2 linked regions of the Macaca mulatta genome follow. The protein of the gene in region 1 binds, or shares a complex with, the protein of each later gene. Links are inferred from orthologs where the notes say so. Each region holds a gene or a part of one and is shown in the gene's direction. Other genes may lie near its edges.

Region 1 (3,446 bases):
TGTACACACATGCCGAATCACACATGTACACGCATGCCGAATCACACACGTACGCATGTGCACACACACCTTCTTACATACACGTGTACACAAGATCGATTATGCACATACATACATATATGTGCTCTTCAAATAGTACACAAGCCCAATCATTTATACATATAATGCATCATTAACGTATACTCTTTCATATTCACACATGAACCCAACATTAACGTATACTCTTTCATATTCACACATGAACCCAATCACACACACACATACAACTGTAACACACGCACACACTCAGGAGAGTAAGACACATAGGCAACAAAATCCTTGCACTGGGAAGCCAGGAAAATTGGGCTGTAGGTCAGTGTGGACCAGCTTTGACATTAAGTTGCTGTGTGACCTTAGTCAAGTCACTCCCCATCTCTGTGCCTCATCTGTAAAACAAGAGCACTAAGGTCTCCTTTAAGGGATGGTGGAAGCAACTGAGAATTTGAGCAAGTCATCTAACTTCTCTGAACCTTGGGATTCTCCTCCAGAAAAGCATGGGTTTTTTTTGTTGTTGTTGTTTATTTGTTTTGTTGTTGTTTGTTTGTTTGTTTTTTAGCCAGGGTCTCTCTCTGTTGCCCAGGCTGGAGTGCAGTAGTGAATTCATGGCTCACTGAAGCCTCGACCTCCCTGGGGTCAGTCAATCCTCCCACCTCAGCCTCCTGAGTAGCTGGGACTACATGTGCACGCCACCATGCCTGGTTAGTTTTTGTATCTTTTTGTAGAGACAGAGTGTCACCATGTTGTGCAGGCTAGTTTCAAACTCCTGAGCACAAGCAATCTGCCCACCTCAGCCTCCCAAAGTGCTGGGATTACAGGTGTGAGCCACTGTGCCCAGTCAACAAGAGTAATTTTAATGCCCACTCCACCTATCTTGCAAATGAGATACCACGTTAGCTCATGGCTGGGAGAGAGAGAGGTAGAAGGCAGTTACAAGGCTGATAAATATCTGATAACATGTAGATCATGACACAAACACCAGAAGCAGGCAAATCATCCCCAGCCACATCTACAGGTGAACACCCCTACTTGGTTGGCTACATAGGAGGTGCTCTCATTTTGAAAAAGGCTCTCAGTGGTTTGGCTCTTGGCTTCTGTCAGAATGGGGCAGAGGTGAAAGAAAGCTCTCTGGACGGGGAGAGAGCTGGGGCCTTCCCCTGCAGCCTCGAAGTGACTGACTCCCTTGGTGAGGTTGCAGGGAATGACTTCTGGGTGTTCTCTCTAGATGACCGAGGTCCCGTGGTCAGGAAGCAGAGGTACGTGTTTGACATTAGTGCCCTGGAGAAGGATGGGCTGCTGGGGGCCGAGCTGCGGATCTTGCGGAAGAAACCCTCGGACACGGCCAAGTCAGCGGCCCCCGTAGGCGGGCGGGCTGCCCAGCTGAAGCTGTCCAGCTGCCCCAGCGGCCGGCAGCCGGCCGCCTTGCTGGATGTGCGCTCCGTGCCAGGCCTGGACGGATCTGGCTGGGAGGTGTTCGACATCTGGAAGCTCTTCCGAAACTTTAAGAACTCGGCCCAGCTGTGCCTGGAGCTGGAGGCCTGGGAACGGGGCCGGGCCGTCGACCTCCGTGGCCTGGGCTTCGACCGTGCCGCCCGGCAGGTCCACGAGAAGGCCCTGTTCCTGGTGTTTGGCCGCACCAAGAAACGGGACCTGTTCTTTAATGAGATTAAGGCCCGATCTGGCCAGGACGATAAGACAGTGTATGAGTACCTGTTCAGCCAGAGGCGAAAACGGCGGGCCCCACTGGCCACTCGCCAGGGCAAGCGACCCAGCAAGAACCTTAAGGCTCGGTGCAGTCGGAAGGCACTGCATGTCAACTTCAAGGACATGGGCTGGGACGACTGGATCATCGCACCCCTTGAGTACGAGGCTTTCCACTGCGAGGGGCTGTGCGAGTTCCCTTTGCGCTCCCACCTGGAGCCCACGAACCATGCAGTCATCCAGACCCTTATGAACTCCATGGACCCCGAGTCCACACCACCCACCTGCTGTGTGCCCACGCGGCTGAGTCCCATCAGCATCCTCTTCATTGACTCTGCCAACAACGTGGTGTATAAGCAGTATGAGGACATGGTCGTGGAGTCGTGTGGCTGCAGGTAGCAGCACTGGCCCTCTGTCTTCCTGGGTGGCACATCCCAAGAGCCCCTTCCTGCACTCCTGGAATCACAGAGGGGTCAGGAAGCTGTGGCAGGAGTATCTACACAGCTTGCATGAAAGTGGATTCCAATAAGCTTGCTCGCTCTCCGAGTGTGACTTGGGCTAAAGGCCCCCTTTTATCCACAAGTTCCCCTGGCTGAGGATTGCTGCCCGTCTGCTGATGTGACCAGTGGCAGGCCCAGGCCCAGGGAGACAGACTCTGAATGGGACTGAGTCCCAGGAGACAGTGTTTTCCAATGAGACTCAGCCCACCATTTCTCTTCACCTGGGCCTCCTCAGCCTCTGGACTCTCCTAAGCACCTCTCGGGAGAGCCACAGGTGCCACTGCCTCCTCAAGTCACATTTGTGCCTGGTGACTTCCTATCCCTGGGACAGATGAGAAGCTGACTGGGCAAGCGTGGGAGAGAAGAGGAGAGGGCTTGGACAGGGTTGAGGAGTGTGGGGCTGTTAGACTGTTAGATTTAAATGTATATTGATGAGATAAAAAGCAAAACTGTGCCTAAAACTGTGGCATATTTCTTGTTTACTCCAGGGGACCCAGTGACCCGTTGAAGAATTTCTGACCCAGGGAGGGGAGGTGGGTTGCTTCATGTATAAACTCAGTTTTCAGAGCCCCATCCCCACCCCCACTCCTGGAAACTGAAGCAGAATGGGACAGAGAGTACAGCTTAGCAGGGCCAGTGCTCACCTCTAACCCCATTCCTGTTCCTTCCAAAGGCCCCTGGGTCCCGAGCTCTATTTTCTCCATTAGGGCCTGGCAACAGAATTTTATTTTCTTCTTGACATTCCTTAGTCACGTTTGTTGTCTCCAAAATAGATCCCTAAAAGGGAGGGAAATTGGGGATTTCATTTCTTCTAAAATCATTCCTACATCATTCACCAATATCTGCCTGCCCCTGCCACCCCCATACTCACAGAATTACCTGGGCACCATTGAAAGAGTCCTCTATCTCTCCCCTGGGAAATCTGGGCTGCCAAGGCTCTCCTCCTCCCTGTTGGGGCATGTCCTCTCACCAGTAACCACTGCTCCTCACATGACCCTGTCTGTGGCTCTGTTGCCCTCCAGCTTGGCACCCTCACTGCTTACCCATCAGCCCCCAGCTCCAGAAACAGAATTGGAGCCCCCTGCCTTTATATTACACATTCTATAAATACATAATTATACATCAGATAAATAAACTCCCCGCTAACTCCTCCTCCTGTTGGGGCATGTCCTCTCACCAGTAACCACTGCTCCTCACATGACCCTGTCT
Region 2 (4,196 bases), on another chromosome or scaffold:
ATTGACAGTTATCTGTGTCTTACTTCCAAAATCTTAGAAGACAATCTGATTGACCAGCTACAGTCTGTTTTTTACCTCTGTTCCAATTATTTGTAGCCAGGGAGAAAAAAGGTCATATAGTTCAAAACAGAGCTGCAGACAGGCAGGTTGGCAATCAAAGGCAGGCGGCAGCCAAGCAGGGCAGACATTCCAAACTGTCCAGGGCAGGTGCCATGAAAAATTAGAATGGCTTTGTTGAAGAGAAATTATATTTGGAGGAGGGAGGTCTTAAGGACCTGGCTTCTGGGAATCGGGCTTCAGTTCAACAAAACAAAACACTTAAAACTTTATAAGATTGGGACCGGCTATTTTGGGTTATTAAATTCCTTGTCAGCTGTGGGCTGCAATGGCCATATGTTGATGGAACATTATAGAAGCGATTCAGCTGTTACATAGAAAGATGGTTTTGTTGACCTGTGAAATTCCTTCTAAGCCTGAGAGTAAAATCAGTTTTGTCATAAGTTATTTCCACCAAAATAATAAAATATTAATGTTTTTCTTATAAATATATGTGGTATCTTAAACCAGGGAAAGCAAGTAATCAGTGGTGGCTGCAGAATTTCCATTTCAGTTGGGTCTATTCAGGAGTGGCAATCTGATGGCAAGGGGAGGGCAGGGGCAAGTGCTAAAGGAATTACTTTAGAACTTCATGTACAGAGCAAGCTATCTTAGCTCTTGTGGAGTGACAAACCACCCTAACGTTTAGTGGGTTAAAACAATAGCCATTTATTTAGCTCTTGTTTCTGTGGGTTGACAGTTTGAGCCTGGATCGGCTGGGTGGTTTTCTAGCCTTATTCCCGTGTCTGTTGGCAGCTGCTGGTTTATTGGAAGCTGGCTGATCTAGGATGGCCCCAGGTGGACTGACTTGTCCACATGGCCATATCCTGGCTTCACATGGCAGCTGGGCAAAGTCCTAAGAGAAGCAGTGGATGCACTCAAGGCTTCTTGAGGCCTGAACTCAGAAGTGACATAATGTCATATCCACCAAACCCTGTTGACCAGAGTGAATCTCAGGATCACCTAAATTCAAGAGGTCTAGAAATTGACCCTGTCCCTTGATCAGAGGAACTGTGAAGCTGCATTGCAAAGAGGGGAGACCTAGAGAGGGAAATAATTGCCACCTTCTTTGTAAATAATCTACCATACCAAGCACACTGTTTTCTGTATCATGGAACAGTAAAAATAGAATTTCCGAATTTCTTTTACTCACATTTTACATATTGAGAAACCCTACAAGTTGGCTATTTGTTTAAATTTGGGCAATGAGTATAATAGCTGAGAAGCAGTTTTGGTTCTTGTACTGAATTATTCGTTGAGGTGGTGTGGGTAGTCAAGTAATGGGTTATAAAATAAAATATTTTCCTTATTTCAAAATATGGTTAAAGCATTCAAAGTATGTTCACTGAATGTGTCCAAAAAAAAATCTATGTGACATTGTAGATATTTATGTTCTGATGAATAGTTAATAATGTTGAATAAAAAATTATGTCAAGAATACATTACTGTAAATGCAAATATGGCAGGGTTTTTTGCTTAAAAAGTAACAGTTTTCTATATCGTTATTTGGAATTTGAAGTTTAACATCTGCCTTGTTTCTAGGAGCTCTGCCAGTGCCGGCCGGGCGAAGGCAATTGCTCCTGCTGTAAGGAGTGCATGCTGTGTCTCGGGGCCCTTTGGGACGAGTGCTGTGACTGTGTCGGTAAGTTGATACAAGGGAAACTTCTTAATATTTCTTATCACAGAATCCTTGTTTTTAAGAGACTTTGAGGAATATAAATGTAGTTTATATGTATAAACAAGTATGTGTGGGAGATACAGTAAACATACAGAACATTGTATTTTTACATTCAGTTGTATTCAGTAGTATTTACCTATACATGTATTTAAAAATGCTTATCCTTGGGAAGTAGGAGTGGGGGGCCAAGGCAGAATTTTTAACTTTTTATTTTGAAAGTTTTTATACTGTTGAATTTTTTATAAGCAGCAGCATTTTATTTTATTTTATTTTATTTTTTATTTTATTTATTTATTTTTTTTGAGACGGAGTCTCACTCTGTCGCCCAGGCTGGAGTGCAGTGGCACGATCTCGGCTCACTGCAAGCTCTACCTCCCGGGTTCACGCCATTCTCCCGCCTCAGCCTCCGAGTAGCTGGGACTACAGGCGCCCGCCACCACGCCCGGCTAGTTTTTTTGTATTTTTAGTAGAGACGGGGTTTCACCATGTTAGCCAGGATGGTCTCGATCTCCTGACCTCGTGATCCACCCGCCTCGGCCTCCCAAAGTGCTGGGATTACAGGCTTGAGCCACCGCGCCCGGCCTATTTTGTTTTTAATAAGAAGTAGGTTTTATAAGAAGAAACATTCCCAAGATGTGTTAAGTAAAAAAAGCCAGGTTCAAAATTATGTTTATAGAATGCTATCATTTGTGTGTTAGAAAGAAAACTTACGTGTGTCAGAAGAAACACCTGTCAGCCCTTCTCTGACCAGTTAACTCATTTTCAACCTTTAAAACCCCAGGTCAAGTATCCCCATTCCTTGGAAACCTTCCTTATTTGACTGAGATAGACGATCCTCTGTGCTTCTGAGAGATCATTTATTGCATGCTCCTATAATCGTTGTTTTGCATGTTTTTTTCAACTGAGTATAAACTCCTTCAGAACAGGAATATAGTCATACTGATGTTTTTTACATTATCCTTTATCAAAATAGGCTATATGCATATAGTTTTTAAGGCACATAGTACTAAAACAATCCCATCTCACTTCTTTCCAAGCCTTTGATCCTATGCCCAGAGACTACCACTTACAACTTTTCAGCATTGCACTTCTTCCAGAATTCTGAATAATAACCCTATACTACTCTCTTGATTCTTTGATGTTAGAAACTATCAGTTGACTTCCTCTTATGGTAGACATGCATTTAGTTCTGTTATCTCTTTATCTTCCTAATGTGATTTTATCACTCCTTCTAGTGAAATCAGTATTTACTTTAAGAATCACTCTAATGAATTAGTGATATATATTCATGGGATGCATAATAAAGTCAGCACTAATTAATTAAATGAGTTATCCCATTATCTGTCTTCCTGTATTTTGGGTGTACTTCTTGAGAGATTTCCTAACCTTTTCACCCTTGTATTAATTTTTTAAATTTTTACTTCCTTTTTTAATTTCCAAGAGCCCTTCTCTGATTGTCCTTTTTGAAGGAACATACTGTTCTTGTTCTTTATGTAATATATTTTTCTTATCTTTCTGGAATTCTTAATTACACAGTTTTGTGGTTGCTGTTGAGTTTTTTCCTTCTACTCCTTGCATGGTTTCCATTTTCTCAGGTGTCTGGTGACCCTTGGCTGTCTATTCCTTTGTACAATTTAGGTACTCCAAAGCGGACTGGGAGTACCTAATCCATGGGCAGGGCATGGAATCTAGTTTGCCTCACTAAAAGGTGGTTGGAGGATAAACTGCCTTTTTCACTGACGAGCCCTCTTATTTCATGTCTATAGACCTTTCCCCTTAGGGTTGCACATTTTTTCTAGAGAAAGATTTCCCGGTTTCCTGCTGGGGTTGAGGCTGGGGTAAGGGGCAGTCTGCCAGGCTGCAAATGTTCTGGGAACCTGAGGGGTGAGGTCACAGTGAACAGTGAGCATACTTTTATTTACTTTCCTTGTTTTCTTCCCATACTCATCTCTATCCTTTGCCATTTTTGGCATTCCCAGTCCAGGGCCTCTTTGGCTTAATTTCTCTAAAGAATAACTCTCTCCTTTCCTCCAGTTGTGGAAGAAGAGACAGGGGCCTGAAGGTGTAGCTACCCCCCAGAATAGGCTTGCCTCTGCCACACTGGCACCTCCAGCTCCTGAGTCTCCTCAGGGTTCCGTGGGGCACGTGGCCTGTGTGGAGACTCTGCTCAGTCAGGTACCTTTAGCTCTTAGCTTCTCCACACATAGAGTTAGTGTTTCCATTTCTTGTTTTTCTTTAGTGTTTTGTAGTGAATTCTGAGAGAATGGGGGCACAAGTATCTTTTCCTCTGTCCTCTTATATTCCTCTTGGTATCTCTAACAGCTGGCTTTGAATTATTTTAGGGCATTAACTGTTTATTAATTTAATATGTACAATGAAAGTAAAAAAGAGAAAATAGCCATCTTAATCTCTGATATACACA

The links. Proteins that work in one complex are often made in the same cells at the same time.
Region 2: the proteins of GDF5 (region 1) and TWSG1 are in contact, whole or in part, in a crystal structure (PDB 8BWL), measured with the Homo sapiens proteins. The link is inferred for Macaca mulatta from reciprocal best matches to the Homo sapiens genes GDF5 and TWSG1. Residues at the interface, in NP_000548.2 of Homo sapiens: Glu434, Phe435, Pro436, Ser439, His440, Glu442, Asn445, Val448, Ile449, Leu452, Ser455; in NP_065699.1 of Homo sapiens: Cys26, Lys28, Cys31, Ala32, Ser33, Val35, Ser36, Leu39, Ile40, Cys44, Gln45, Cys46, Arg47, Cys73, Val74.

What each region holds. Positions count from the first base shown.
Region 1 is NC_133415.1:88,241,471-88,244,916, reverse strand, and holds the end of GDF5 (growth/differentiation factor 5), read left to right. Parts: intron 1-1,261; coding exon 1,262-2,136; 3' UTR 2,137-2,698; downstream 2,699-3,446. UniProt on the Homo sapiens protein: Growth factor involved in bone and cartilage formation. During cartilage development regulates differentiation of chondrogenic tissue through two pathways.
Region 2 is NC_133423.1:80,333,808-80,338,003, forward strand, and holds part of TWSG1 (twisted gastrulation protein homolog 1 precursor), read left to right. Parts: intron 1-1,638; coding exon 1,639-1,738; intron 1,739-4,196. UniProt on the Homo sapiens protein: May be involved in dorsoventral axis formation. Seems to antagonize BMP signaling by forming ternary complexes with CHRD and BMPs, thereby preventing BMPs from binding to their receptors.